Linked DNA regions of Caenorhabditis elegans. The protein of the gene in region 1 purifies or fractionates together with the protein of each later gene. This does not show direct contact. Each region holds a gene or a part of one and is shown on either strand. Other genes may lie near its edges.

Region 1 (17,456 bases):
CATTCACAAGTGTGATTATTCCTTTCTCGATGTTCGCCAATATCTTCTGCCTCAACGCCTTGCGCAACAGGAGCTCTACTACCGATGCTCTTCCCTACGAGCCGCCCGTTGAACTTAGCAACAAGGCGAGTCAAACTCAGATCATCATGATCAACGCCGAGAAGCCTCACGAGGAACATCCTGTGCTCGGTTATCCCCGCTTTTGGCCGATCCTTAAGACGGCAACCAGATGGATGGCTCATGAGATTGTTGGATTCAACTGCACGGAGAACCCGATGGCTCCCGTGCCAGCGGAGGATTACAAGCTTGGTCATGAGCTTATCCATTTTGTGTTGAAGGATGACAGTCTCAGGGGCTACGTGATCCCTATGAACGCCATCACAGTTTCAGTGGCCGCCGAGAACTTCCTCGCTGGGGGAGACTCATTCAACTTCGAGCCGATCGACCAGGAAGCTAAGGGATTCCTGACCTACCATCTGATCTCTGACCGAGTCCAGGCGACTTATTTCAACTACAATGGCCTCACGTACCTGGCTGGCATCTGCTACCTGATGAGAAGCATCACCGATGAGATCATCTGTGACATCAATCGCCCGAGAAGCTTCAATCATATCGAGATCTGCCGAAAGGCTTTTGAGCTCACCTGGCTCGAACGTCGCCGTTTCCCTTGTGATGATGTGACTCACACTCAGGAGTCGTACGGTGTGGACTGTCACCGCCTTCGCAGAAGAGTGCTTGTGGGCTTTGACGAGACACATCAGAAAATTGTCCACTTGAACTTCAACAATCGTACCGGAGAGGTCTGGAAAGAGTTCTGCAGCAAGTGCAACAAAATGGAAAGTACCACTTCCATTTTCTTCGGTGAGCTTTTGTATGTGAACCTCTGTAATTTTGTTAAATTTCAGCACTCAAGCTCCGTCTCCCACTGGTCCTTCCACCCCAGATCCCCGATGAGATCCTTGATGAAGCTAACGAAATCGTGCCAAGTAAGTTTCATCATTTCAAGTATAAAGTTTTCATCAAAAATTGCAGGAATCGCCATGGCGGACTCCTTCTCGGATCTCGAGTCAATCGCAGACTCGGCCGTCGCCGAATCAGCACGCGCACCCGGCGAATTGGTGGAGTAAAAGAGTTCAATTTAGTTTCTGCTTGTACTGCAGAGTAATTTTTCTATAATCGCTGGACCTAATATTCTCGCTTTACATTTTTCCACTACCTCTATTTTAATCTTTACATCTTAAAGTCTGTGAACTCTTTTCAATAAACAAAAAGTTACTCGAAGATTCTTGACAGAATGCTTCTCTTCATGGTTTCATAGAAAGCTTATCTAGTCGGTTGGTTCTCCCGCCCGGAACACAAGAACAGCTTTTCTACTTTGTTTTTCAGAGAGCTTATCCTGTATTTTTGCTCAAAGTTAGGGGCTCCCGGGCTTCACCTTCCGACAGGAACCTGGAACTCAGGGACCATTGACATTCAAGCACAAAGACCACCCTGAGCATTATGCACCGGTTCCGGTCTTTGTGCTCGCTTGTCAATGGTCCCTGCGAAAAATCACTTGACTCATCATTATTTTCTTCATGGCAACAGTTGCCTCACCCCCTCACTTCCCTCCTGGCCGGGCTTTCTATCCGTTTTTGCAACTTCAGTTCTCGGAAATCTTTACACTTATTTGTGTTTTCGCCGCTGTGATTGCGAAATTGTTAAATGTGATAAGAGATATTTTCTAAGCAAATATTGGAGCAAACAATTACTCTTTTTTTCGTGGGAGTTAGGTTGAAAACCTTTTAGATATAATTTGGCAGCAGATTATGATAATCTTATACTAGTTATGCCAGTTATAATCCGTTCTCTCGTTTTTTTTTGGACTTTAGCTGACAATGACCTAGGGCCCAAAACCGGCAAATCGGCAAATTGCCGGAATTGAAAATTTCCGGCAAATCGGCAAACTGCCGGAATTGAAAATTTCCAGCAAATCGGCAAATATCCGGAATTGAAGATTTCCAGCAAATCGGCAAATTGCCAGAATTAAAATTTCCGGCAAATTGGCAAATCACCGAAATTAAAAGTTCCCGGCAAATTGGCGCATTGCCGGGATTGAAAATTTCCGGCACTTGCCAAAAATTTTTTGGCAAATTGTGGTTTTGCACTTTTTTTTTGTAATTTCAGAATTTCAATTTCAATCGGCAAAATTGTACGAATTCCACAAATGTTTCTACAGCTATTTTGAAAACAAACAAATTCTATGAAAATATCTAAAGATAACGAGATAAAAATTTCAAAAAGGCACAGTTTTAAGTGTTGCCGTCTTATAAAAAATCCCTCTAAACATTTCCAACAATCGGCAAACCGGCAATGTCTGAATTGAAATTTTCCGACAAATCGGCAAACCGGCAATATGCCGATTTGCCGAACTTATCGAAAAAAAATTTGCCTAACAACAATTGCCGCCCACCAATTGGATCAATCAATTTGACCCAAATTTTCTATATGAGAAAAAGTTTGTTACCTTTGAGAAAATGCAATTCAAAAATAGTTTTTAAAAAATGCCAAAATAGGATTCTGTGCAATTTTTTACTAGTTGATGAAAAAAAATTTTCCCGTCCAGTTATCGGCTTCTACCCAAGTATTGCTTGAATTAGCAACTCTCTCCTCACCCTTAATCCCTGTCTCCAGTGTTAGAATTAGCGCGTTTGTTAATCGTTTTCTCCTTTTCTCATATCAATCTCCTCACTTGTTTCCTTCATCTTCTACTCTTTACGCTCCGATTTCGTAATTCCAATGTGTTTTTAAAACCGGTTTGCCTCGGAGAACTGTCAAAGATATCATCAATCTTCGATGAGATTCGTCACTGTGAATGGCGGGAAAACAGTGACACCGGAAGGTACCGTTCGGTTCCTAGGGCGGACCAATTTGGAGTAGCCAGGTTGTAGAAGATTGATTAAGGCCAGTAAAGAACATTGGGGACCTCAAAAATTACGAGAACCTTCAATAAGCAAACAATACGAACTTCAAGAAGCGTCATATGCATTTCCAAGTGCATTTACATAGTTTTTGGCAAAATCGTTACTAAAATGTGCTGATAATGAGTCAGTTCTGCAAATTGTGACCAATTTTCCGGGAAAAAAACCTTATCACTTTTCAAATACCTCGCGCCAAGTCGTCTGCATTTTCCAAACAAAACTTGCAAACCTTGAAAAAATCCATTTCCGTCGCGCTGCCAATGGCCTCGCTTGTTGATCCACCTGTTCTCTCATCCCCTCCGAAAACTACCTGATTCAAGTTCAAGCGGCGGCCCGGGAGTTCGCAAACGTGTGGTCAGGCAGAGACAACAAGAAAACTTCAAGAGACCGCCGTTTGGAGAGACGCAGAGAAGAAGCGTGGAAGGGCCCCCGCGGCGGTTTCCCCCCATCGCTTCCCTCATTTCATTCTCCCATCTCTCCACATTTTTCCTCATCTTTTTTTTCGCTTTTTTCTAGTCCAGAAGACGTTGAGGCACGACACTTTTTGGTGGTCATTTTCTTGTGTGACGCGGCTGGGCAATCGATTTTTATGCTTCTCTAGGGGCTTTGGAAATGGGCTGAAAGGTCGAAATGTGCTCATTCTCCAGTAGTTCTTCAATCTTTATTTCGCTATCAGTAATTTAACTTTCCTCATAATTTTTCTAGCCCTTCTCGAAAAAAATCTCTCCACTGACAAATTTTTAACATTTTCCATACTTTAATAATCTAATAATAACAACCAATGCTCACTTTCCTTCGCCTAGTACCTCTTTTCAATCAAAAATTGCATTGATGAGTAATTCAAACATGTAGAGCGACGACGGGTGAATAGAAAAGACACACGTTTGCCCCTCTCATACAAACAGGTGATCGTCCTCTACGGGCACCCAAGGGAGACGCAGACGGTGAGGTGATTCTCTAGAACAATTCATTGTCGTTTTTTTTTTGTGGAAGAAAACTGGGTTGCTAGGCTTACAATTAGAATCACTTTTTTTAGAGAGACTCAGCTCTGACGTGAGGATCTTCTAGGTGAAAATTGAAGCGTATAACATTTTTAAAAACCAAATAACCTTTCGAGAACGTGGTGTCAGGCTGTCTCAATACAGTTTGATCTACAAAAAATGCGGGAATTTTTTATGGGAAAAATTGTGACGCACTTCTAGGCGCTTGCCCAGAAATTCCGCACCTTTTTCAGACAAGCTAAGCACTGTAAAATTTAAAATTCTAGACCCAATATACTTTGTTTCCTGAAACATCATCATGTCCCTCCAGTTTTATCGCAACAATGTTGTGATGACGTAGTGGCTTCTTGTTCTTTTTCCATTTTTTTTGAGCCATGTAATTTGAGCAATTATATACGATAGGGGTTCAGCGTTGGAAAGACTAAACTTATTATAGCCACCTAGATTTTTACGCGATCATGGACCTACATCCAACTAACAATATACTTGTTGATCTTTTTCACTGGATTATTCAGATAACAAAGTTCATTTATTTCAAGATTTTATTAGTTTCAACAGGTTTGAGCTATGCCTTCCGCAAAAGCTTTTGTGCAGGCCCAAAAACCCTAGGCCCCTTTCGGCCCCTAAGGTGAACTGTCCTTTATCACCCTACCGGTCATTCACTACCGGCAAAACTCTAGCCAAGTTGGGGTGTGGCCAGAGTTATGGAAAAGTGTTCCTCCTTGAACACTTTTTAGTAGTTTTTTTTATAACAATTCTTCTCGCCAACATTCTCGACTCAAAAGTTATACTACCCTCTCTCTCTCCCTCATAATTTCTATTTTTATCACATTGACGCACTAACTCAAATAGGTGATGACGCAGTGGCTACTCGTTCTTATTTTTATTTACAATACTATATTTTTCGAATAAAACGGGGGCTAATAGTAAGGATTTTCAGCCGAGTAAAGATTTTTGACCCTCACCCCCTTCCACCACCCCCACAATTATAATCCCTTTTTCACTCCCTCTCAACTACCACTTTTTATTCCTTTTCCCCTTCTTCTTCTCATGTTCCGGTCGTTTTCCTCCCTCTTCTTAGAGCATTCAAAAAGTGAGCTTCCGATTGAGATGTTTGTGTATGTGTGTGTGGCGAGGTAGCATGGCAACGGAGCACGCCTGCCATGGAGCCAGGCACCCTCATCTGAAAATTCATAGTTATTTCCATGTGACTCCCGCGATTACGGTCACCGCCACGCCCTGAAAATGTTACTATCGGTTTGCTCAGTTCTTATTTTTTTTTGCTGATAAGAGAGTCTTCTCGCTAACTCACTGTAGAAATTTGTCATTTTTTGTGTTTATAGGGGGCCTCCCGATGGGGTTGAGGGAAGGGGTCTTCCTCGTGCCCCACTGACAACAGAGATAGGTTATATGGTTCAACATTACTTAGATTCAATTTTGGAGGTACAGTTTCCGGCAGGGGGTACACCGTAATCTAGGCAACCTTACTGTTTTGGGGAACTAATTGTAAGGAGTATTTAGCTTCAAAAACTAACTACATATATAAAAGTGCTTGTTAAATTTACTTTGTTTTTTTTTCGGGATTCCCTCATAAATTAAAATGCAAGAGTTTGCCGAACTAGGCCATTTTGGCTCGGCCATATCTGGAACAGATTTACGGCGCGTTGCGTATCGCGTAGCGGCTCGGTTTTAGTTGTAAAAAAATGTACCTGCCCGTATGGTGTACGCGACTTTCCCACGCGTTGTCCGGCAGACGATTGTCAATGGAGCGCAAAACTGCAATGAGGAAATCCAGACCCCTGTGCCTCATAACAGGTACCCTAGTACTAACTAAGGTTCCCTAGTACTAACTTTTCGTCTATCTACCGGGTCATGTGCTCTATCAGAGCCACTTTTTGAACTCCAATGTCTCTTGACACTTATCCGATAGCTTGTGTGGGCTGCCAAGTTTGCTTATGACTATCTTGCTAATGACTACCTTGCTGATGATGAGGAAGAGAGCAGACAAGAGTCGCCTGCAAAGAAAGTTTGCCCCAGAAACTTATGTGAGTACTAACGTTATAAATCTAGGGCCTTACGACTGATTTAGTTTCAGGTGTTGCTCGTAAAAATAAGAAGCTTTGTGTGACCTAGGTCCTCGGTGACTGCGACAAAAATGTTTGTTTGTTTTTTTCTGGATCTTTTTTTTTTCCTTTTTTTTGGAACGAAAAAATTTGCAAAAAAATTTTCCCGTGGTGGAGAGTTGAACTCATCTCGTCTCGAATCTCAAAATTTTTGAACTGATCTATAGTTTCGCCCCAGAGAAGACGACGACTTGAATTCCTGTACACCGCGCATGATCGCCCCGGATCCTCTCCCTTTCTCTTCATACGCATCACGTCATCCGTCCTCAATTCCGATACAACATTGATTTTGTCCGTTTTGCAATTACCTTTTTTGACTGCCAAGCTTAAAAAAAACTATTTTTTTCAGATAAAATGACATCTACCACAATGGTAACCACTCTCGACTTGGTCACACCAACATCAGGTACAATTTTTGTGGGGGGGCATGGTGCATCGATTTACGGCGCAAATCAAACTTGGGGGTTCCAAAATCATGGTGCATCGACTGACTATTGCTAGCTTTAAGTTTCAGCTGTTTTGAGTTAGTGTTTTCCACGTGGAACACAATTTTGACCTAACGTTAAACCCCTCATCCCATACCCCCGACATATCTGCGTCTCCGCGCTTTTCTCCAAGACACGGCCCCGCCGCCGGCAAATCGACGTCGCGTAAGCCACGTGGAAGTTTTTACGGGGAATGCAAATAGTGAGACGACGGCGACGCCTTATTATCAGTAATTCTCTGACCATATGATGTTTTTTATAGGTTTATGGGCATAAGTCATAGATAGGTTGCATAACTTTTTAGATAATTTTGCAGAATAAATGGGCTGTTTGAGCAAAATTACTGTCGTTTTTAGATCAAAACTTACCAAATTTTTACCCAAAACTACTACTGATGTTTATTTTTTGGCTACAAATTGACAAACGTTCGTATAAAACTTGACAACATTAGACGAAAATGGCAAAAAAATAGTTGTTTTCCATCAGTTTTCCATCAAAACATACATACAATAAAAGCAAAGGTTTAGCTGAAATTTTGAGTTTCTAAGGTAAAAACGGCTATTTTTTTGTATTTCTCAAGTTGTCTTGATTAAAGTTCCAAATTCTATTTTAAGCCTCATTCCCAAACTAATTAACCCCTCTCCGCGAGTGCCCAGCCCGGCTCTCTGCTTCTCTGCGTCTCCTGTTGTCGCCTCGAATGGCATGACTCTATTTTTGTTGTGCTTCGTGTGCTCCACGACTCGCGTGACGTCAATGAGCCAAAGAGGGACCCGTTGAGCTGCTCTAGCCAAAATGAGTCAGACGTGTAGCTCAAGGGACCCGGAAAGGCACTTGCGAAATCGCTGCTCTTGCAGAGGGAAGGGGCACCTTAAAAATGAATTTTTTGGGATAAAAATTTTCAAAAAATATTTTGCCGATCAAAAACTGTTTCTGATGAATCACAGCAAAGAGAGACATAGAGAAAACCAGAGTGAAAAATCGCAATATGGCGCCACCAGGCCAATGTGCGCGCGGCAGTAAATACATACACTTGAACTTTTTGTTTTTCTTCGATCCAACGAACTTTTCCCTTTAAACTCCTTTTTTTCAGAAGAACAACCGGGTCCTGCACCGGAGTCCTCCGACTTCTCTACAGTAGTCCTGAGTCCGGATGGGTCGGAGCTTGTGACACAAAGTGCTCCAAACACACCGATACAGCATCGGGAGCAGGCGAACGCGGAGTTCGGACAGAAAGAAGGTAAGTAGAAGTTCGCAAAGGCACTAGGAAAGCGCCAAAACACGAGATCTGCGCCAAAACACTAGAAGTGCGTTAAGGCACTGAAAATGCGTCAGCACTTCTTTGCGCTTTTCTTGTGCCTCGGCGCGGTTATGCTGCCTTTCCTCCTGATTTTCAACAATTGTCCCCTGTCGAGAAATGCGCTAAATCACTTGATCTACGAATAGACAAAAATACGTCAATGCACGATAAATGCGCCAGCAACTTCATTGGCGCTTTTCTCGTGCCTTTGCGCATTCCTCGGCGACGATCCTTTCCCTCGTGTTCTACCATCTCCAAATTTTTTTTGCAAAAAAAACCGCCAAATGTGTATTTTCTCATCCCCACCGCTTCCCGCACACACGTCACTTTTTTCTCTGACATCTCTCTGTACTCTCTCACATTCCCACACTGTCTCTTATCACTTGCCGACTGCATATTGATTCAGCGAAACAATACGCACATTTCCATCAAAATATACTAAAGAAAACGTGATCTTTTTCCACTAAAAATTCAAAATTTTCAGGATCCCCAGATCCCAAAAATATGGTGGCTGCGACCGGGAACGCGTCGAAACCCAGCCTGAACAGCTTCTACGCAGATGGGCTCGGACAGCTTAGGAATGGGCTCTTTTCGTGTTTTCAGCCAGTTTTTGGATATTTCGGGACTAAAACTACAGTTGAAATGTGAGTTTTAAATATTTTTTTTTTGATTGAAAATTCAATTTTCCAGTGAAAAATCCGAGGATGAACTATGGGAGATCCCATTCGACGCTATCTCCGAACTTGAATGGCTGGGCTCCGGGAGCCAGGGAGCAGTGTTTCGTGGTCAGCTGGAAAACCGAACTGTCGCTGTGAAAAAGGTCAATCAACTGAAGGAGACCGAGATCAAGCATCTTCGACATCTCCGTCACCAGAATATCATTGAATTTCTCGGAGTTTGCTCAAAGAGCCCGTGCTACTGTATAGTGATGGAATATTGCTCAAAAGGACAACTATGTACTGTATTGAAGTCAAGAAATACAATAACCCGAGAACTTTTTGCTCAATGGGTTAAGGAAATTGCTGATGGAATGCACTATTTGCATCAGAACAAAGTGATCCACAGGGATCTCAAATCGCCCAATATTCTAATCTCCGCTGAAGATTCAATTAAAATTTGTGATTTTGGAACGTCTCATATGCAAAAGAAAATGGATAGTACTATGATGTCATTCTGTGGAACTGTTAGGTAAGTTGGAACTTGGCTTAGGCTTAGGGTTCTTAAATTTGGCTTGGGCTTAATCTTAGACCTAAGCTTGGTTGTAATGAACTTCAACATTTTCAGCTGGATGGCCCCAGAAATGATAAAAAAACAGCCATGCAACGAAAAAGTCGACGTCTACTCATTTGGAGTTGTGCTCTGGGAGATGCTCACCAGAGAGACGCCATACGCAAATATTGCTCAGATGGCAATCATTTTTGGTGTTGGAACAAAGTGAGTTGTAGTTTGTTCCCTGATTTTCTGTTTTTTTTTCTGAAGATTCAAATAGCCAAATGTCCAGAAAACCATTTTAATAATCCTAAAAACCTTTTAATTTTCAGCATTCTGAGCCTTCCAATGCCAGAAGAAGCTCCGAAAGGTCTTGTACTTCTCATCAAGCAATGTCTATCTCAAAAAGGTCGCAATCGTCCCTCATTCTCCCACATCCGACAACACTGGGAGATCTTCAAGCCGGAACTTTTCGAAATGACTGAAGAGGAGTGGCAGTTGGCATGGGATTCTTACAGAGAGTTCGCGAAATGTATACAGTATCCGTCTACAGTAACCAGGGATCATGGTGGACCGAAAAGCGCATTTGCGATGGAGGAGGAAATACAGAGGAAGCGGCATGAGCAATTGAATCATATTAAGGTTAGAAATATTCTATTAGTTTTTAACTAGGCTTATAGGCTTAAAAGCTAAGTTTAAGCCTAAAGTTAAGCCTAAGACCAAACCTGAAACTAGCCTAATTGTAAACCTAAAACTCCAATTTCTTCCAGGACATCCGAAATATGTACGAGATGAAGCTTAAACGAACCAACAAAATGTATGACAAACTCCAAGGCTGCTTCACAGAGCTGAAACTCAAGGAAAGTGAGCTCGCCGAGTGGGAAAAAGATCTGACTGAACGGGAGCAGTGGCACAATCAGAACAGCCCGAAGGCAGTGGCGGCTCCGCGAGCACAGCTACGTGGATACCCGAATGAGGGATATGATGATATGTCGTCTGACGAAGATGTTCAACCGTGCCGAGGATCTCCGTATAGGTGCTCCAATACGAGCTCCTCGTCAGGAGTTCAGAGCTCTCCGTTCTCAAGGCAAAGCTCGAGCCGGAGCAGTGCTGGACAGCAAACGAGGAGAAGCGAGGGAGCGAATCCGCCAAGTGAGTATATTTTCCCTGAAAAATTGAACATTTAAGCTTTCGACAAAGCTAAAAATCAGGGAAAAATCTTAAAAACTGAAAAAGTTGTGGATTTTCAAAATATTTTCAAAGTTCAACTTATCTAAATTCTAGACCTTTTTCGAAAATTCATAACTTCGTTAGAATTTAAGATTATTCCAAAAAATGTATTACAAAATATAGCAAAGTTAATGAACAACTTGGCAAAAATATTTGATTCACTTATAACTACTTGGCTACATTATCCACGGGATTTCCGCGGGGAGACCTCAATTTTTTGCAAAAAAATCAAGTTTCCAAAAACCTCGACATGATTATACATTTCTAAAAGCTCTTGGTCCCCTCAATTTAAAAAAAATAGAAAAATTTCAGAAATCCTACGCAACGACGCCATACGTCATTCAGGGTCCTACTGGGAGACGCTGGGTGGGGCCCGTGGATCACCGGCCAGGGATTCCGGATTTTCTCAGGATTCCGGGATGTGGAGCGCTGGAGCCGGTAGCTGCACAGCTATTAATGGTGGAGGACAACAGGTGAGGAGGAAATTAATTTTTGGCACAAATATTTCGAAAAATTTCGATTTTTTTAAACTCAAAGTTTATCGATTTTCCTCAAATTTTCCAGGTTTGCTACTCCCAAACTCTGTACCGTAACGGTGACGGTCGCTGGTCGGACGGGCGCATAGCTTCACGTCGGAGGGTCTCCACGTCAGTCAACAAGTCAACTGCAGTCCCCGGACAGCCCGTCTTCTTTACACGTGACAGCCCGTCACGTGTCCCACACGGTGTGATCAGTTGCTCCTCTCGTATGTGCATGCTCTTTCCTTTTTCTGAGTTTTCTAATATTTTTTTTTGCATGGGACTTCTTTATTTTAGTTAGTTCCCACCACAAAGGGGTACTGTAGCTAGAGATCGATTTGGTTTTCCGAAAAAGTTTAAAAGTTTATCTTCATTTTTAGGCAATATTGAGCTGAAAATACCAAAAATTGACAGAGTTATGGATTTTCAAAAATTTTCGGAATTTTAAAAATTAAAAAATTTTTCGGAATTTTTCGAAATTTTTAAAATTTTCTACAGTAACTTTAAACTACCCTTAAAGATCCTAATTTTCGGAAAATTCATAATTTTCATGGAAAATTCAGAGCTTTCATTTGAGTATAATCATGGCTGGTTTTCTAAGTTTTGACCTAAAACTTTAATTTTCGCTTCGAGACCCAAAATGGGCGGAGTCAGGGTTATACGTCTCTAAATGCTCTTTTTTTTTGGAAATTTTTATGTAATAAAAATTAGCTCTAAATATTTGGAAGTTTAGGCAGAAAAGTTAATTTTTTGGAAAAAAAAGATATGCAAAAATATTTCGAAAATTCATAACTCCGACAGTTTTTAAGTTTTCGCAGTAATTTTTGTTTTAAAATTTTGCAAATTTCAAGGTCTTGCCTGGAAAAATATGGTTATGGCCTAGGTTAAAAAATTCTAGACCACCAGCTAGATTTCTAGGCCACACCAGTTTTTGAGGTTGTTTAACTGCATGGTTTTCTGCCCTTTTCTTTAAATTCTAACACTACATTTTTTTCCAATAAACTTCCAACTTACTAAATAAGCTTTAATTTTCAGCCCGTTCAAGCTCAAAGCTCAACCGTTCATCCTATCCATCTCGAAATGCTCCTCACCAGCTCGAAGACGGCTGCTGCTGTGCTCACGCCCGTGCTCCGCGAGCAAAATCAATTGCTGTGCCGATGACGTCATCATCTAGAGCCCGGAGCCCAACTCCATATGACAATGATTTTGAAAATGCCGAGAGCTTCGTGGATCCGGAATCTCCGAAAAATTTGAAAAATTTGGAAAAAATCGTAAACTTGCCAGAGTCCACGTCCTACGACGAGGCTTTATGCAATAGTGATGTGACAATGAACCCGATTTACACGTCACCAATCACCACCTACAGTAACCCGTGCCACGTGGAGCTGGTGGACGAGGAAAACGCAAATGACGTGGATCTGACGTCATCGATGGATTCCCGACGATCCCGCTCCGACGATGCTGATGTTGAATCTTCGGAAGAAGATGAGGGAAATGGAAATAATATTCTGAATACTTCTATGGAATCTGAGGATCTTCGATATCGAATTGACACGTCTCAGAGTACTATGATGAGCTCATTGGAGAGAAGTCTGGAAATTGGAGCCACCCGGTCCGATGGGCTTAGTGATAATGAGATGAGAGTTCAGGCGGTCAAAATGAGCATCAAAACGCACAGGAGAACCGGATCGGTGAGTTTTATTTTACATTGAAATTTAAGTTTGGCTCCGCCCACTTAATGGTTCGTCAAGTTTGGCGAAATACTAGGGAATTCTCCAAAACCTCACGAAATATCGTGTTTCCGGAGTTGAAATTACTTACTTCTAATTTTGCCAAGGACCCGCCCATTTTGGTTTTTAACTCCGCCCACTTCTGGGCCCTATCACGAAATATTAGGGAATACTTGGAAATTTTTCTAAAAATAGCAGAAAATCTAATTTTTTTAACACTAAATTGATTCAAAACTCACAAGTTTTTTTTACACTTTTCGTTAAAATTTCGCAATACTTCTTGACAAGCCAAGAAGTGGGTGGAGCCTAACCCTATTATTGGCGGAACCTAGGCATGATTATACTTAAATCAAAGCTCTTTGCATGCCGAATTCAAATTTTTTAGTGAAAATTATCTGAAATCCAGTTTCCAACAAAATTGTTGGCTGAAAACTAAAAATTTATTAATTTTCCAAAATTCCAGAATCCACAAGCCCTAATCCACCAATGCATCGACGAATACACCACCTCTGCAACAGATGATAGTGACGATGCCGGAGCAGTCCGAATTTAAACCCCGCCCACCAATATTTGTAGTTTTTGTAGTATCCCTTCCTCCACATCTCAATTTGTTCATTCATTCCAGAGCTATTTTTGCCATTTTCAAAGTACTTACAGTAGTCCCTATGTCCCTGTAAACTCTAGTTTTGTAGAACGAATCCCAGTGAACACCGGTTCCTATTTTTGAATATTTTTTGAATATTTTTGAGTAAGAAAATACATATAATTTTTGTGTAAAAATACATATATCGATTATTTTTGTTTATTAGTATTATTATTTTAATATAAAACAATTTTGAAATAATTAAAACAAACAAAAAAAAATCAATAAACCTATTATATTTGGGCTTCTTCGTCGTTGTTGAATCTGAAAAAAAAATTTTGGAAAAAAAAAATTTGGATTTTTTTTCTAAAATAAATAATAAAAAATTTTTAACTTTAAATGTTTACCTCAAGGTACAATAAGCAGGAGGCATATATTGATCGTTTTCTGCGTATTCTGGTGGATTTTCCAACACAATCACTACAGGTAACATTGGCGGCGGAGCCTCTGAGATTTGTGGTAGTTCTGGACCATTCGGCACCTCTTGCGCCGCTTCTGATGTTGGCTTGGGCTCACGGAGCAATTGTTTTTGTTTTTTACACAAGCAGGCTTTTAGGCAGCCTATGAGAGCTGTGGCGATAACCTGGAAATTTTTGTTTGGGGAATTTGTTAATTCCACAAAAAATATTCGAAATTTATATTTCAAAATATATCTTTAGATTTTTAAAACTCCTCGGTTATTGATTTAATTTTCATGAAATTATCAAATCCTTATTTATCTCAGTATTAGCTTTGGTTTAAGTATAATCATGACTAGGATCCGTCAGCTTTGAAAATTGAGCTGGAGCCAATAAGTGGGCGGAACCTAACCTGCGATGGGCGGAGTCAAAACAAGAGGGAAATCAAATCAAAACATTTAAAATGGAATAAACACTTTTCAAGGTGAAAATGAGAATTTTATAACCTACAAAAAAAGGGCGGAGTCTAACCCAGAATTGGGCGAGCCTGGGAATTTACAAACCTAAAAAAAACTTAAAAATTTATTTTTTGGCAATCAAGAATATTGCATTGCTTTTGTTAAAATGAGCGCAGTCTTTGCCATAAATCGTGGCAGGACCAAAAGTGGGCGGAGCTGAAATTGAAAGTGGGCGGAGCCTAATAAGGAAGCTTAAAAATTCAGAACTGTTGATTTTTCGTGTTGACAATTTCCTGGAATTGGGCGGGTGTTATGGCTTAAAATGGGCGGAGCATAAACTCAAAAGGGGCGGAGCCTGGTCATGATTATACCTAAATTAAAGCTCTTGGTTTGCTGAACTCGGATTTAATACTTTTAAAGTTGAGAAATTTTTTTATAAAAAGTTATTGTTTTTTTTAAATAATTTCAACTTTTTAAATTAAAAAAAAATACTTTTTTGTTTCAAAAATCGATTTTTAAATGAAAAAACCCAACTCACCATAACCACTAACATAACCATTGCACCGTCCATCAAATCACAAAACCATCCCTCACATCCAAACCCGGAACTCGAGCCCTTTCGCCGATTGGAGTTTATCAGCAGACCGCTGCCCCCACCCATAAAATTCTGTAATTTTGCGGAATTTTTTGGGATTTTGCCCCAAATTTTTTGAAAAAAAGTAGCATGCAAAACAGACGAAAAATTCTTTTTAAAAAAAGTTTTTTAGAAATTTAAAAATTGGCTGAAAATTGAGCCCAGAAAGCTCAAAAAATGCTCAAAGTATTCCAGAAAAAAAATCGATTTTTTCAGAATTTTCCGCAGAAAAAAGAGGTTGAAAAACGTAAGTTGTCTCTACAACTCTGAGCAGCGATCCCAAAAAAAAGGAAACATTGCTCAAAAATTAATGGAAAAGCTTCTGTGGTCGCTCATGTTAGAGGGAGGGGGTGTTGAGAGACACAGAGAAGGCAGAGAGAATCACTTTTTATTATTTTTTTGAAACATTTTTTGAATTTAGTTTTGTTGATAGCACACGACAGCATTTGCATGTGTTCGGCTTTTTGTCGAATCTAAAATTTTTTTTGAAAACTTTCAATGTTTTAAAAACCTTACTTTAATGATGAATAAGCTGGTGGTCTTTGTGTTTCTTGACTTTCAATATCTTCAGAATTCCCTGAATCCCCGGAGCTCTCAGTGGGCTTCGCCGACAGTGTGGAGGACTTGAAGCATCCGTAGAAGAAGAGAATAATCTGGAATTTGAAATTTTCAGTCAAATTTTGAGTTGAGCTCAAAAATTTTAAGTTTTTTGAACTCGGGAAACTGAGAGATTTCAACAAAAAAGTATAATCATGACAAAGACATGTTTTACGAAATTTGAAGTTTATCGAAAAAAAGATTTTTCGGTCTCGACACGAAAATGGGTCGGAGCCTATTCTTTTCCTTTTTTTTCGTTTTTTCTATACTCAGAACATTAAAATTTTTAGATCTGAAATCATATTTTAAAATTTTGAAATTAAAAAGAAACCTTTTCCAGAGCTTTTTTCCCAAATTCTGAAAATGGGTCCGAAAGGGGCGGAGACTAATCTGATGTGGGCGGAGCCTAACCTGAATTTTACCCAAATTTGAAGCTTTTGCGGCCTTAATGAAATATTACTATTTTGAAGTTGAAATAATGGGTTTTTTAAAAATAACTTTTGAGCATTTTCCATCAAAAACTTAAAGAGGTCTGAAAGGGGCGGAGCCAAATATTGATTTTATTCAATTCACTTTTTTTTCAGACACTTGAAAAAAATTTTCGTCTATTGAAGTTCGAAAATTAACAGTTTCGCAGCTTTTTTAGTTTTGTAGTTTTCTCAAAAACTTTAAAAAATGGGGTCTGAAAGGGGCGGAGCCTAAGCCGGTGCGGGCGGAGTCTAGTTACTCTACTGAAATGAGAGCTCTCAAAAATTATAAAAAATTTTGTAAGTTATTGAAAAAAAAACATTTTAAACTTATAGGAATTAATATATGAATTTTCCAGGTTTTCATTGATTTTTCTCAGAATTTAAGGATTCGGTGTTTGCGTACTTTCCGTGCTACCGTACCCAAACACTCACCGTACAAAAGCTGCCAACCACAACACCAAGGAAGAATATGCCGAACTGTTTAATTTGGAGCCATCCTTCGAATTGTTGCATTTCCAATTTACCAAAAAAATAGTAGAGAAAGAAAATATGGCCTCCTTCTTGCTTTTGGCTTGTGATGGTCTAGTTATTTAGGGTCGATTAGTGTATGAAAATCGAAAGTTTTTTCTTTGGCTGTACAGCAGTGACGACTTGGAGAGAGAGGCAGCAGAATGGTCATCATCACTGGTGATGAGAAACAAGGAATTGGTCAAAAACGAGAATGACGTTATTTGATCTTCATGCGTTATGGTCTTGTTACGTTTTCGGATGGAACGTCGTGAGAAAATCATGTGTGTCGAAGCTGGGAGATTCAGGGGATCTGGAGATCAGGGACCCCACAGGGTTTTACTAGAAGAGATTTCAAGTCTCCCAAATTAATAGGGTTCAAGGTCAGAACTGATTTACACCGTTGAAACAGAAATACATCGAAGACGGCGGGATAAATTCGGAAGTTACTTTCGGTTGAATGTTACATCAGATCATCAGGTCATCAGATCATCAGATCAACAGATCATCAGATCAACAGATCAACAGATCATCAAATCATCAGATCAACAGATCAACAGATCATCAGATCATCAGATCAACAGATCAACAGATCATCAGATCATCAGATTATCAGACCATCAGACCATCAGATCAACAGATCATCAGACCATCAGATGATCAGGTCATCAGATCATCAGATCATCAGATCATCAGATCAACAGATCAACAGATCATCAGATCATGAGATCATCAGACCATCAGACCATCAGATCAACAGATCATCAGACCATCAGATCATGAGATCATCAGATCATCAGATCATCAGATCATCAGTACCAACTGAGCCAGGGAGGATGAGGGAGGCGTAGATCCTCGGTAGCTGTGACTAAATTGTTTTTTTTTGTTTTTTCCGGCGGTAGAAGCCATACAGGCCACACCAGTTGTTCAAACCACACATAATTCACCAAGCCCACAATCCAAACCAATCTTGCCAAACCTAACAGTTTTGTCATGTTTTAAAATGTACCTTTGATACCCAGTGAAGCGTATTTCAGATTGGTTCAAGCTACTCAGATTCCAAGTAGCAATGATATTTAATCTTCATGCGTCATGATTGTTGAACGTTCAGAACAGGAAGCTTTGAGGAACTACAAAGAAGGATGCAGTCTCCAATGATGTCAGTATTGCAGAATTGGTTTTTTCTTGACTTGATA
Region 2 (15,396 bases), on another chromosome or scaffold:
GAAAGCTGAAAATTGAAATTTTCAATAAAAATGTAGGCAAGTTTAATTTAAACAAAAATCATTGTGCTCAAACACGGGCCTATTACATCGGATTCTACGCGGAATTTTTTTCTGGTGATTTTTTCGCAACTTAGTAGTATAAAGTAAAACGCCTCTGGGTAATCTACTTTACTTCTAGAGAACACTGCCTCTGGCGTTTCAATTTTTTGCATGATAATTAATAAAAACTCACTTCACTCAAACATGGAATGTGTCGGTATTTTGAGGTGTTCGAAATCTGAAAATAAGAGAGGTATATAAAAATATCTATGGAAATATTGGAAGTAGCTACTGCAGCTGTCTTCAGTCAAGCATAATAGCTATTATGAATAGCTCCATCATCTCTCCCGTGTGCCGAATCAAATAATGACGAATAAAAAAAAATAGAAAGAGATAGGAGGCAATGAAAGAATGGAGGAAAAAAAGTTAATTGGTTTTGAAGCTTGCTCACTTTTTGGCTAGAACACAGTGCGGTCCCACCAATGACGTCATAGATGTTTCGCAATGTTTTTGGTTCTCCCAGTCTTCTATGTTCCCTTTTTGTGACAGCACATTTAGTGCCTTATTTTGGATTCAATTTTCAATTAAATGGATTCACATGGGAGGACAAATTGTGAAAGAATACGAGAAGTATTTCACATGATTACATGTATATACCGTATTTTCCCTACTGAACTAGCACCTTTTTAGAAATCTATTTTGATGGCTTATACGTATCTATATTGTCTGTGGTGATATCAAAACATGTTTTAATATTTTGTAAAAATTTTTGTCAATTATAAGTTTTTGACAAACTGTCAACGTGGAGCTAGAAGGGTGCAAGTTTGATAGAGAAAATGCTGTAAGAAAATGCGGTAACTTTACTGGTTAAGGGATGCACTTGAAGATTGAATATGACAAAGCCTGCCTGAAGGCGCAAAAATTCTTTGTGCGTACCTACTAGATCCTCCAAAACTTTTTGGCATCCAGCTGGAAATTGTTCAGTTTTCACACATCATAATTCTTGGTGTAGTCCGAAAACTTTTTCAATACAAAAACTCCACTGACAATACCTTCAATTGAACTTTCGAAAAAAACATTGAATTTTCAAAAAACATTGAGCAAACCATAATTTTTATTTTCATAGTCCCAGAAAATAGGCTATGAAAAATGTGACGGACCATTTTACATATTCTTGTTTTTTAGAGTCATGTCAGTCACAAACGTCATTTAGACACCACGAGGTTTTCTCGATGGGTTGATTTATTATAAGTTGAGAATTGGAAGATGACTTTTGCAAGCTCTAAAAATGGCGTGGACCCAAAAAATGTATTTCAGACCAAGTTTACCTAGTTTGGCGAAAAGTTGCGAAAAATAGTTTTTACAAGCCTTAAGTTGAAAATTAGGCAGATGATTGATTTTGTACCTTTAATTTTTAAGCTTGAGTGCATGTTTAGGTTTTAGTTGAATTCAATTTCACACTACTCATCAAAAAAGCGTTAGAAAATCCAATTTTGGTAACGAATAGAGAGCATTCACGTTGAAAATGTAATCAGCTCGGAATAGGGATCGTTGTGAAACCTAATGGAAAGACATTAAACATGAATGGGAAATTAAAGTGCATGTACTTTTTTAAATTGTAGTCATTAACATTAACTATTAACATAAATCCATTAACTTTCTCAAAATTTGAACATGTTGTTCAGTAAAAAGCTTGATAAATTGATAAATTAAATAATGGTCTTTTCGCGTTTCTAGGTTATTGTTGAAAATATAATTTGATTTCAACAAATAAATTGCAGCGACAGACAATATAAATTTTACAATTATCTCGTTCAAATTTGTTGTGACAAAAAATTTAGGACACATTAACGAATAAGAAACCTCTACCATAATGTTTCTTTATAGCAGTAAAATTCAGCTTTGTCCTAATTTATAAAAATCTACAACTCTTGCTCTATTCCTGTTGACAATTTTTCTGATAATACGGCATTTTCCAGAATTGCCGAATCAAAAATTGAGCATTTCTATCAACTTTTGTTCTTTTAATTTAAAAGTTGTTGTTTTTAGTTATCATTGTCTTTTTCAACTGATAATAGAGCTTCTATAAATGACATTCCAGGTAAACTAGAATTGACCTTATCACGCATGATGTCATACTTTCAAATGCCGTACTTAACTAGAATAAAAAATAAAAATGAGATCATAACCTGCAAAAAACTATAAAAAGGCGAAATTCTAGACAGCGGATATACATGTATTTGGAAGGAAGATTGGACGTAAGAGGAAGAAGAAAAATAAGAAGAAATAGTGAGCGAAAGCGTAGGGGGAGAAACAACGTGCCTTTGCTCCATCAGCATCGTCGGAGGAGCCCCATCGACATTTCAGTAGAAAGAAGAAAAAGAAGACCGAAAAAGAAAGAGAGAGAGAGAAGCTTCTTCTTTTCATGAGCCATTTCTTTCTCTCTTATCGTCGTTGCTCATCGTACGAGACGCAGAATATTTTGGACGTTGGGGACGACGACTTCAAATCGATTCAAGCCGCCTGACTCTCCCCCGTGTGTGGTTCTCCTTTTTAGAGCAAGTGCGGAGAGAGAGGGGAGTGAGTGGGGGCGAGCAACTATAGCATTGCTGTGCTCCCGAGCTCCTCGAGAAAAAAACGAGAATCAATAGGTCCTAGATGGATGGACGGACAAAAAAAAAAAACGAAAAGTTTTTTTTCGGCGACACTTGGGAATGGTGACGTTTATTCGGATGATTCCTCGTTTCATTTTTTCAGACAAACATGAGTGTTTTGGTATGGAAATTCTGAAAATCTGGAACATTTCAAAACTTGGTTTGTTTTGTTCAGTTTGGAGAAGGATTCGGCGAATTTTGAATCGAAATTTGAAAATTAGTTGTGGAAATATGTTTTATTTAAAAAACACCGTTCTGGTAAAAATGGTTCTTTGATCTTTGTAACTTAACCAAAATTTGTCGTGTCGAGACTGGCTACTATAGTTTAGAGACAAAGAAAACAACGTTTCGACACTTGGCGATAATTATATGTTGAGCTTTTAATTGAATTAAATGAAGTTTTCATTCCAATCTGCACAAAAATATGCTTACGAGAATAATGTATAGAGTATTTATATAGAGAGAAAAAGCTCAAAACTTGAAAAAACGTCTGCAGATTGTAATGTGTTTTATGTATGCGTCATAGGGTGTTCTGCACGTGTAGAACATGTTTCGTGTTGCTGGAGCAAAATGCAAAGTACCCCTAATTAGTTGCACTTTACAATTCCCTGAAACAATTGGACTGGACGAAGAGTCAAACTCTTTCTTTCTTTCGGAATAGTAATGACGACGCCAACGCAAACTAAATTTGCTCGTGGAATATGGTGTATTGAGTTGGTATGCCAACATTATACAAGTTGACCTAAAAACAATGAACGGCAGTTCAGAGAAATTGTATTATATGGACGCATGTCAAAAAAATTTTTCGTGTCGAGGCCGAGTACCGTATTTCTGGTGCAAAAATCCGTGTAATACAAAAAATAAACAACTTCTCCATAAAACAGAAAAAAAATTTCACGTTAAAAAAAACTAACTTTTAAAACACTAACAAAGGTCAATGTCGTCGATTTGTTATCAGACAATCAATCAATATGCAAATCAATTATTCTCGATTTTCGAAACTTGAAAAGCAACTCGGACCGCCCGTTCTTCTGCTCATCAACTAATAAGATGCCCTGGTGAGTTAAGATTTTTACCAACGCAGTTAATTCCTGATGTGTTCATCAAGAACCTCATAGAATTGACATTATGGAGGCACGCCAACGAAATCAGGCAGAATGTGCCCCTTACGAATTATCGTTTTCGTAATTTAGGCATTGTGCCCTGTCTTCGATGGTTCGGGTTTATTGTGCCCACTGATGCATTCTGTGCTCATTGCAAATGAACTATAAATTCTAAAATTTCAAAATTTCAGTCAAAAGAAGTCAAACCCAACGGAATTGCACATCTCCACTGGCCGCGAGATCGTTCAACGGAACTTTGTGTTCCGCAACACCACTGGCAAGGACTTCCTGCTGAAGTTGCATGCTACGAATGAAGCCGTCACCTTCCCAACGGAAGTTTTCCGTTTTCCACCATTGGCTCATCGTGCCATCCAGTTCCGTGTGAACTCATCAAAGCTCTCCCAATGGGACAAGATGAATCTTTTGATCAAAGGATACGTGTTGCCGATCTATGCGAAGAGCCTCAAGCAGTTCATTGATCAGAAGAAAACTGCAGGAACTAAGGAGCAAGAGGCATTCTCATTGTCTGTCAAGTTCACGGATCAGTTCTCGGCTCCCCAGACAGTCATCAACTTGCCAGGATATGCCACGTGTATCGAGTCGACTGATTATCCGGTTGACGTGGAAGAATTGGACACTACAACTGCAGTCAACATCGAAAGAGGTACAGATTGATGCTTTGGTTCAAACTAATTAAAATCTTTCGATTTCAGATGTCTCCACTGCTGTTCCAATTGGTTCAATGATGGGATTTGTTGAGGAGTACAAACGTCGTCAATTGAACAAAGGATGCTGGTTTTCCAACTACATCTGTGGAACTGAAAAGCAACCGGAGAAGCAGTCAATGAGATCTTCTCGTAGATCAAGCCGTTCGTCGAATCATTCTGCAAAGAGCTCAAAGGCTTGCCGTATTCAGGCTAATAAAAAGAACAAAAGTGATGTCAATGTGTGCCTTGAAGCAACTCCGTGTGGTGGATCAACTATTCAAGCTTAGATTGAACTGTGAATGGCACTTTTGTATGATTTAATGAAATTGACTTGGTCGGGTTTCTTGAATATTTTCAGTAGCTTGCACTAACTATAAGCTGAAACATGTAATGTTAAAGAGACAATTATGCCTCTTCCATTTTTGGAGATCATTACGTCGCCTTTCTTGGAATTTCAAGGAGGAATGAGGCTTCTGATAACTGTCTTGAAAAACTAAATGAAGTCACACGGTGTTTGGTAAGTTCAGTGGTACGGTGAATGTAACTTAACAATTTTCGAAGCGCCTACAGAAAGGTGTGCGCCTTTAAAATAATACTGTAGCTCCCAGATCTTCATTTTTACGAAAATTTCCATACATTGTCTTACAATGTTTTGCAATCACACAAAATAACCTATTTTCAGATCTTCCATGTTTCTTCCAATTGCACCGTCGAAAGTTATTGCCTTTTTTATTTTGTAGGAAAAATTGAATAACATTCAATCATAAATTTTTTTAATCATAATCATAAAATCAATGGGAAGAACAAAAAAATGTGAAAAGAGACAAAAAGAAGAAAATACAATTGTCTAATACACATTGAAGCACTAATATTTCGAGTATTTCAGTATAAAACGAGTCATCTCACACTTTCAATGCTTGGGAAACAAAGACGCGTCATGGAAAGTGGACGGCTGATAAAAAATCATATTAAAAATGGGAGAGTAGGAATAAGACAAAAAATAAAATTTGAAAAAGGGATATGCAAAAGTTGGCGGGATGAACAATAGAGGACAACTTTTCATGTAGTGAAATTCCTGAATTTTTTCCAGATAACTCACTGCAATCAATTCATTACAATTCTAGAGAGATTTTGGCATTTAAATTTTTTTGAAATTATTCGAAAGGTATTTCAACCGGAAAATCTGTGAATGAAGAATGGGGGAAGAACAAAGAAAGTAAAATGCTATAAAAAGCAAGAAAAATTATATTGTTAACGTGCTCTATAAGGAATATTAAATTTTGGGTGGTTTTTGTTTTGTGAAGAAAATTTTTTGTGAAACATGATAATTGAGCAATATAAAAAACCAAAAGCAATGCAAGATAAAAAAGTAAATTCAGCACTATCACAGGGGGAAATCGTGTTATTTAATATTCGATATTTACACACCAAATATTACTCCGAAATTTTGCGAATTTTCTAAACTTGGAAGTTGGCTGGCGCTGGTTCATTGTCATCCTCCTCTTCTTCTTGATTCGCAGCGTTTACCCGTTGTTCTGAAATTTGAATATTTAATTTTTGAGAATTCGCGAAGCTTTTTCAACTAAAACCTCCATCAAAGTTGTTTATCACACGCGAAATATCTTGCTGAATTTGATTTTGATCTCCATCCTCGTTATTCTTCAAAAAGAAACACATCGTTTTGTTCGTCGAATTTCTGATTTACACAGATATTCATTCATTTGGTTAGTATTTAGAAGAAGAAGCACAACTATTCTAAAAAGGTGTTCTTTTTGAGAAACTAGTTTAATTCTATAAATTTATGTGATACTAACTACTGAAAAAATGAAAAAAAGAGGAAGAAGCAGAAATAATTTTCAAAAAAAAACTCACAACACCCGTAAATACCGCTGGGCGGGCACATTTCGTGAAAAGTGTATCTGGGGATTGTCCATGAAGAAGTCCCACGAGAACAACCTGAAAAATAAATATTAAATTTTTTAAATGTGTATATTTCGTTAAAATTCAACATTTTAATTTAAAGTCACATGCCGTTTTTCTTAGTAGGTCTCACCACGATTTCAACTACCATAGTCTAAAGATCTTGCAAATTACTGTAGTTTTTTTTTAAATTTGGCTGATTTGGAATCTTCAAAGATTTTTATTGATTATCTTACAATTTGTTAAAATTTAAGTGTTTCAAATTTTTTTGTTCCAGTTTAGTTTCTCATTAAAAGTTTTAACGAAAACTTATGAAAATTTCGAAGTTTGAATTTACTGTATATTTATATTTCAAAACATAAAATAAAGCTGATAAAGTGTTTAAAAATTTATTTTTGAAAAAATCAAACTTACAGTCATATTATCGCATCCGAGACCACCCATCTGACAATCTGGAGCCAAGCACCGAGTGAGAAGCTCTTCGCAAATCTGAAAATGAGAGAGAATACGAGATATTTACTTTATTTTAATCAACTTACCGATTGTGGATCCCTCTTCTCAGCAAGCTTCTCACGAACAAAATCTACGACTTCCTGATTTGTCATTACATCCCAAATACCATCACATGCAAGAACAATAAACTCGTGATCCGGTGTCAGCTTGTCAGTGATCACATCCGGGAATGCTGAAATTAAAGAACTTTTTTTAATTTTTAATTTCAAATTATTCTCACCAGTGACAATTTGCTCCTCAGCAGGCTTTGTGTCACAATTTTTGAATGCAAAATCTCCGAGAGCACGGGAAAGTGCCAAATTACCATTGACACGATTGAACTCAACCCATCCACCGGCGGCAATGATACGTCGAGCTTCGGTTTCATGAGATGGCTTGTGATCGAATGAAAGTGGACGAGCTTCTCCAACAACTGAGGATACTGCACGAGAGTCACCGGCGTTTCCTGAAAAATGGAGAAAAATTAAAAATTGACATTTAAAAATATTAAATCCTGGTCTTCCCTATACAGTTTAAATAAATATTTAATTTCAACGTTTTTTTCTATGTCACATAAACAAATCTGTGAAGTTTGAAGCTTGTAGGGATTACTGTGGCTGAGATCGTGGTGGGACCCACTCAGAAGTATTAAAAAATCAGCGTACGATTTTTACAACTTTATGATACACAGTTATCACAAATGTGTGCGTAATCAAAAATTAAAATTTTTGAAAAAATATGGAAATGTGTTTTTATTTTCTGTACCAATAATTTTTCTCCTTTTTTAAAGATAACTTTTGTAATACCGTGAAAGTTCAAAATCTAATAAAATTTCGAACAATATGAATTCTAATACTGCAAAATTCGAAGCTTGGAAGTTAATTTTTTATCGATTTTTACTGAAAACTGTTAGTCTTAGTATTGTGATTTTTTTGAAAAATACTCAGTGTCTTTAACATTTCCTCAATTTCCTTCCATTGACGTTTCAAGGTCAAAGTGCAAATCCGTGTCTCTTACCACAATAAACATCTCCCTCCTTTATCAATACAACAACTGCTGTCGTTCCACTAACATCATCCTTTGTCTCTTCATCAACTCTCATCTGTTGATCCAATTCTAGGAATCCTTTTTCGATTGCTTCTTTCATATTTCCCTCGGAAAATTCCTTCTGTGCGACGACTTTTTTGTGAAGATTAATTCCGGAATATTGTGAAACTTTCGATCCACCGTGTCCATCGTAGACAGCAAAGAATGCACATTTTGGATCATCAGGAAGAGAAAGGAGATGTGTATGGGCATCTTCCATGTCTGAAAAAAAAGAACATTTAGAACAATTTATTGAACTAATTATCATTTTTGAAGATAGTGAAGCTAATGGATTTTCAAGTCGCTAAGTACCTAAAAATGATGAAAATGATGAAAATGAGCTAAGGAGTTCTGTCTGAAGAGAAAGGGACTAATATTCGCTGATTTTTTTTTTTAATTTAGACTAAACATTAAAACAAATTAATTTCGCTATGTTATTTCTTGATTACAAACGTTTAAAATGGAAGTAAACGCTTAACAATATCCTAAATTCCTAAATATCCTAATTTATTTTATCACATTTTTGCTCTGATAACTTTCTTACCAACTCTCCATCCCTGCATACAACTGCTACCGACCAAATAATTCTCATTGGCGCATGACGCCGACTCTTTTTTAGTAACTGGCTCACTGAGTGTTTGTCCCATACTTCTGAAAATTGATTTTTATTTTATTTCAGTCTAAGTGCACTAAACAGTACTTTCAGCGGGAAAATTATGATGTTTGAACGATAGAAAAATGGGAAAGAGATGAAAAGACGAAAAAAATGCGAAAATATTTGAACGAAAAATGATCGAAGGGGGCGTAAGGTTATCACAATTTCAATGCTACCTGTTCTTCAATAAGGAAAGACTGATAGAACGTGTGTCACGTGATCAAAAGATAAAATGGAAAGCGTTTCCGAGAGACAGAAGAAAATTATGGAATTTTTCGATAGTCTATTTTCCAACAAAAAAGAAGTTACTGATAAATTTTTTGAATTGTTCGAAAAATTGTATTATCACAAATTTAACGGAGCAAAGTTCAAAATCGATGATGAAATTTGCATAATTTTGAATAAAAATTGAAAAAGAATAGTAGTACTGTACTAAAGGCGCAACGTGGTTAGCGAGTGGGTCTCACGACGAAAGATCTACAAGGAGTTTATTTAAAGTATCAGGCCTGGTTTTCTAAATCACTTGCTCATATTTTCTTTTGGGAAGTTTATTTCCGAAGAAAAATTGCGAAACAACTACATGATGTTCCCAAATTTAAATTTCGATAATTTCAAAAATGATTCCCAATTTTCAAAAATGTTGTATCCAAAATGCCCGCCGCCGCCGCCGCCGCGACTATTAACCCTCACAGCAAATAAAGAAAAGTTGAAAAAATAAAACGGCAAGACAAGCACAGTGATTTTATTGTATTCTAACCGATAAAAGTTTTCGTCTCAAGACCACGTGCTAGCAGGAAAAAAACGGCGGTCGGCCGGGAAATAAAAATGTGACACCAAGTTTCGGTTCTTCTTCGTTGCGTCGTTGGACGTCCCCGCGTCGCATCGAAACAAACATTGATACCGAGACACAAAAAGTGACGAGAGAAAAGACCGACAAACGGACACTAGGCTGCCAGGCGAAAATCAATAGGTAGTGAGAGTGTGTGAAGGTGAGAGGCACAGACATTCCGTTTCTTCTGTGACCACGGAAAATCACATGGCGCTGTGCGGGGAAACCCCCTCATGTGCGGGAACAACCCGATGCAGTTGCGCTCTAATCGACGTATGAAAAATCAAGGCAGTTTATCACGTTGACCAGGTTATCATTGGGGGAGAGTGATCAGAAGACTACAAAGGTATCGTTGTTGTTAAAATTGTTGAAATTCAAAATTTTAAAATAGCAACAACAAGTATTTTCAATAATATATGCTAGTTCCAGTGTACTTGTCAATAAAAATCTAGAAATGACGTGATTGTTTTATGTTGCTTTATGGAATTTATCATGTAAAATGTTCAACAATTTAGAAATAAATGTACTTAAGGAACAAAGCGATATATGAAACATTGAGATAGGAACGATGTATCTGAGACACAAAACCTATAAAGACCAATTTTCAAACTATCGCACAGATTGTGTAATAAATGTCACTGCAATCTGTGTGATGATGGTTTCTTACATTCAAATTATTATCAAGAATAGTGGTTTGGAAATTACGGTTGCCAAACATGCTACTAATGACGCACATCAGGTTTCTGGATGAAAGAAAATTTGAAAACTGAGCAAGCTTAGTTTAAAGGTGGAATACGGTCAATTGGGACTTCATGATAAACCTCCCAAATGAGATGACAGAGCAAAATATTATCAGAGGTTAGAAAAATCTCCAATTTTGGTCAATTCACAGTTATCATTAATATTTACCCTCGCCCATTTTTTTGGTGCCGCACTTGAAGTTTCTCCATTTTGGCTCAAATTTTCAAGTGAAAATTATTTTTGTTGAATTTAAGACATGAAATAAATGTTTACACAGAAATGATACCTTTTTTTTTGAAAATTGGAGACTAGACGAAATTTTGAAAAATGTAATTTGTTGGGTATCTACGTGTACCTAACCCTCAACGTGGATATGAAGATCGTGTAACGTGAACTCATTATCTATGTATACTAACTTTCTATTCATTCCTTAGTTATGTAATAATAAACTACTCGTCTTCGCCTCCTTGTTCGGCCTCGAATATATAACATTATTCAAACGAGAACATCTATCACAATTGAAAATGTGCCAAAATTAGCAATTTCCATCAAACTAGATACAGTTGTTTTGTTTTTATTTTGTAGTATTTTGGCATTTTGCACTAGCGTTATTCCTCCTTTAAACTTCAATTATAAAATCACATATCTAAATTTTCAAAAAAAATATTTTAGCAATTTGCAAATAGAGACACAAGCAATATAAATAACCATCAAAGCGTGGATCATGTTTTGAAATAACTGTAAAAAATGACAATTTTAGAAAACATTTACAACATCATTCTTTAACAAAGTTCCAGAAATGCAACAGAAAGGATGTCTCATTGTGAGAGTTGATGTTATCAGTCCTCACATGAACATAATTGACGTCTCATTTCCGGTTATGACGAGCAATTTCGTAACTCTCGATTTCCAAAACTTTCGATTTTTCCCAAATATTTAGTGATTCATATAACAATAACCATTCTTATTTTCATAATTCTTTGTTTGTGTCCCGCTTCTTTTTATTATTCTTTAGCAGTTATTTGTTCAGGATTTCTCATGTCTTTCGTATAAATTATATTCTTCACAGTTTTGGATTCTAAAATGAAAGTGTCTGGTAATACTTTAGTTCTTTCGATTTATTCTCGTTTTATTCTTTTGATCACGTTAAGCTATGCTGTAAGTTTTCTTTTTTAAAGATATTCTGTATGAAGCGGGATAGAATTGTTTTGAATTTTTTAAAATATTTTTGAATTTTTTCTCATTTATCAACGCGACTCCTATAAAAGTTCACTAAATTAAAAAAGTCTTATTTGTTCAGTGTCCTCCAAGTCTTGATAGTTTGAATCTTCCACCACCAGTAATTCATAGAGAATGCCTAACAAGAAACAGCTGCCAAAATGGATATATCTGCCGATTGAATAGATGTGTTGGTGGAAGAGCATTGGCAAGTAAAACTAAATATGTGAATGAAGAGGTAGGTTCTTTTCTAGTTTTATTGAAACTATGAGAAAATTCTGTTTTGAAATATGTATTTAAAATATTTTTCGGAATTTACGGAGTTTTGTTGTTTCTCTATTGTTTAACTTTGGCAATAATCTGCTTTTGAATAATTTCAAAAAATCCAACTTCTTCAAGATTTTTTCTTCAAAAATATTCAAAAAAAAATCTCATGAAAATTAAATAATCCCACTTCAAAATTCAGGAATCCGAGTACTCGTTAAAAATGGAACAATGTTGTGTGGATAATTTACTTCCGGAGAGATGCATGGGATTCTGCTCATTTGAGACTTATAATGAATCTTCCATCTTTCGACTGCTCGCGGAGCCCAGAAGATGTCCAAGTTCATCACTTAGAACTATTCATTTTTGTGCATCTATGAATATGGATCACACAGAATGCTGTGAACAGGCACGTTCGAAAATGTATTTATTTCAATAGAAAAGTTGATTCAAGAAACTCGCACAAATTTATCTCGATAATTCAAGATAAAATTTTTGAAGGTTTTCTGTACAGCTGTAAAGTTATCTGAAACTGCAAAGTTCTTTAATAATTTGTCGGAAACATTGTTGAAATTTCCTTTTCACAGTTGCCAATTTTGTTTGCCAAAATTTGGATATTTAGAAAATTAATTTAACAATTATTCAGCAAATTAACAATTGTTGACTAACATATTCAATTTATTTAAAAACTTTAGTTTTTTCCGTATAGCAAAGTAATAGTACAGCATATCCAATAAATCGGTTTTATTCATCAAATTTTAAATTTTTTGCAGAGTCGTATACCATCAAATTGTGTGGATCTATGTGCTCCTTCTGATTCGGAAGTTCGATTTGATGAATCAAAACTTCATTGTCTTCACTATCTTCCAATAATGAAAGAATGTTTTCAATCAAATTAAAATTAATAAATAATCCCTATTTCCTTGTTTCTTAACCACTTAATGCTCATTGAACCTATTAAACACTGTCGACTCCGGCATCCTGTCAAATCGAAACACAAACAAACACATTCGCATTGATCTACCGGAAGAGATCCGGGCGATTTGTTGGCATGGCTATATAATGTGTGCAATTCAAACATTCAATTCAATATCACATTTTGATATGAACATAAAGTATTTCACTTTTCTTGTTGCTTCCGTACTTTGCGAGTTCAACCTTACAGAGACGTTGGCTAAAAATGGTAGGTTTACCGGTTTTGTCTTTGGTTTTTAATCTTTTGCATTTTTAAAAAAAATTTTTAACAGTATCATAAAATAACTGCAATATTCTCAAATATTTTCTTTAACATTTTGTTGAGAAACTTGCCAACTTTGAATAATCGTTTCGGTTTTTGAAACGAAACATCATTTTCCAATTATGCAATTTTTAAACTGTTCCCTCCGAATTTTTTTAAATTCAGCTCATAACATCTTAGGTCCCACCACAAAAGATGACAAGTTACTGTAAATATCTCAGAAAAAAAAAAATTAAAATTCGCACAAATGAATCAGCCTACAATGAATCTATACATTTTCCAGAAAGTTCACCTCTTGTGGATCTTTCGAAAGTTGCCCGCGACCAAGGAGCAATTGTAGTCGCCGCATTTCCAGCAGTATCTACAATTAAAGCAAAAAGTAAGAAAAAATTTGGACTGGGAGCTTTTGAAAGGGGATATACAAACACTGGTGCGACTTTTTCAAGAAGAGGCAGAAGTGGAGCTTCAACTGGAAATCCTTATGCATCGTGAGTTTAACTTTTTTGAAGGAAAACGTTTGCAATATATAAACTTGTTCCAGTGGATATCAAGGGCTCCCTGAATCACAAAGCAGTCTGCCAGGAGATCGTGTAGGTGGAATGACCAGAACTGGAAAGAGAACTTTTGGAAGTTATGGTAAGAAATATATTATTTTAAAATCAAACATTCATACTTATTCCAGGAAGCGTCGACACTGCAAAAGGTCAATCCTCGGCTCATAGAGCAGGAACCGGTTCAGGATGGAGAGGATCTTCTCGGAATGACGGAGAGAATGACGATTGGAATAATGGAGATCAGAACAATAATAACAATTTCAACTCTAAAAACAATCGAATGAACAAATATGGAAATAGAAACGATGGAGATGATTATAATGGAAATGGGAATAATCAAGACAATTGGAATTCGGGATCAAATTCTGGAGGGTACAATGGTGGTGGTGGAGGATCTGGAGGAGGATCTAATTGGAATAATGGTGAATTTTCAATTTTTCCGATACATTATATTTCATGAGCAAGCTTAGACATCTTATGATAATGCTCGAAACACGGAAAATATATCTTTCTTTTCAAGTCGCCTAATGTAAGCCTATCTTTCTAAGCTAGAAAACACTTCTAATTTTCTAATAGACCGCCTGTTTTTCTTTATACAGTTTTCTTGTTCATGGGTTTAAGAATCTACTGACGCTATTTTAGAAAAATTTCAATTCTGTAATTTGTTTCAGGAGACAACGAAAATGACGGCTGGAATAATAACAACAACAATCGAAAGAGCAACAACAATAATAATAATAACTATGGTAATTCATGGGGTACAAATGACAACGATGGAAATTCTTGGAAAGGATCTGGAAACAGCAATGGAAACTCTGATAATTGGGGTGGATCCTCGGGAAGTGGTTCAAATGGAGGAAATGATGGAGATTCTAATTATGGAAATGAAGGATCATGGAAGCCAAGTGGAAATAGTTATGGAAGAAATCGAGGTGGAGGAAATGAAGGTGGTGATCAATGGGGAAGTAACAATAATGGAGGAGATAATTATGGATCTGAGTTGAGCAACAATTGGGGTGGATCTAATGGTGGATCAGGATCAAATGGAGGTTCTGGAGGAGGAAATACTGATAATGATAACTGGGGAAGCAATAATGGCAATTCTGGAGGATCATGGGGAAATGGTGGAACTGGAGGATCTGGAGGCTCTGGAGGTGGAAACTGGGGAGACAATGATAACTATGGCAGTAGCAACAAATGGAATGGAAATGGAAATCAGGATAATGACAATGATAACTTTGGAGGAGGATACAGTAAGAATGGATACGGTAGCAATAACAATAGAAACGACGGATGGGGATCTTCTAGTAGCAATAATAACAATAATAATAATAATAATAATAATGGAGGAACTGGAGGATACAGTAACAACGGAGGAGGATGGGGTAGCAATAATAATAATAATGGAAATGATGGAAACAATTGGGAATCCAATAATGGAGGAAATGGCGGTGGTGGTGATAACTGGAATAATGGAAACAGTGGCAACAATGGAAATAATAATGGTAATGGAGATGAAGATTATGGAGATTGGTACAATATGAAGATGAAAGATCCATCTGTAGCTGAAGATTCAACGACTAAAACACCTGAAGTTGAGAAGAAGATTGCCGAGTTATTGAGTATGGATACATATCGGAAGATGTAAAGATTTCCTGGGTTTCTGTTGTTTTAACTTATATTATTGATTAACTTATTGCAATAAATTCATATTATTATTCATATTCATATATTCATACTATTATTGTTACATCTAAAACATAACTTCTCTTTACAACACTGTTGGGAATTCATTGCATACATTCTTTTATTTTTTATAACTTTTCATATACATATGTACAACAGAAAATGCGGAAAAGTGTTGAAAAATAGACTCAAACAAATTTTTACAGAAAAA

Evidence for each region.
Region 2: the proteins of dlk-1 (region 1) and ppm-2 purify together in Caenorhabditis elegans (affinity purification with western blotting, with the first as the bait; one study listed by BioGRID). This does not show direct contact.

What each region holds. Positions count from the first base shown.
Region 1 is NC_003279.8:12,561,779-12,579,234, reverse strand, and holds dlk-1 (Mitogen-activated protein kinase kinase kinase dlk-1), read left to right. Parts: upstream 1-6,433; 5' UTR 6,434-6,438; coding exon 6,439-6,490; intron 6,491-7,659; coding exon 7,660-7,806; intron 7,807-8,350; coding exon 8,351-8,510; intron 8,511-8,556; coding exon 8,557-9,054; intron 9,055-9,150; coding exon 9,151-9,300; intron 9,301-9,407; coding exon 9,408-9,717; intron 9,718-9,845; coding exon 9,846-10,227; coding exon of another isoform or gene 10,228-10,262; intron 10,263-10,617; coding exon 10,618-10,778; intron 10,779-10,869; coding exon 10,870-11,050; intron 11,051-11,858; coding exon 11,859-12,514; intron 12,515-13,016; coding exon 13,017-13,106; 3' UTR 13,107-13,429; downstream 13,430-17,456. Other genes in the region: F33E2.10 (DUF4817 domain-containing protein), read left to right, coding at 30-861, 906-986, 1,033-1,127; mec-19 (uncharacterized protein), read right to left, coding at 13,430-13,460, 13,544-13,779, 14,591-14,713; C49G9.2 (uncharacterized protein), read right to left, coding at 15,078-15,159, 15,203-15,339, 16,186-16,266. UniProt on the Caenorhabditis elegans protein: Component of a MAP kinase pathway that functions presynaptically to regulate synaptic architecture and presynaptic differentiation. Phosphorylates and activates mkk-4. Has a role in axonal regrowth following injury and synaptogenesis.
Region 2 is NC_003281.10:4,643,750-4,659,145, reverse strand, and holds ppm-2 (putative protein phosphatase 2C T23F11.1), read right to left. Parts: upstream 8,653-15,396; 5' UTR 8,649-8,652; coding exon 8,546-8,648; intron 8,224-8,545; coding exon 7,933-8,223; intron 7,382-7,932; coding exon 7,157-7,381; intron 7,109-7,156; coding exon 6,963-7,108; intron 6,913-6,962; coding exon 6,838-6,912; intron 6,460-6,837; coding exon 6,376-6,459; intron 6,163-6,375; coding exon 6,093-6,162; intron 6,039-6,092; coding exon 5,962-6,038; 3' UTR 5,260-5,961; downstream 1-5,259. Other genes in the region: T23F11.2 (Major sperm protein), read left to right, coding at 3,744-3,751, 3,988-4,460, 4,510-4,790; dbd-10 (DB domain-containing protein), read left to right, coding at 11,310-11,384, 11,527-11,682, 11,911-12,117, 12,482-12,607; pqn-29 (Prion-like-(Q/N-rich)-domain-bearing protein), read left to right, coding at 12,813-12,891, 13,229-13,433, 13,487-13,581, 13,628-13,921, 14,171-15,147.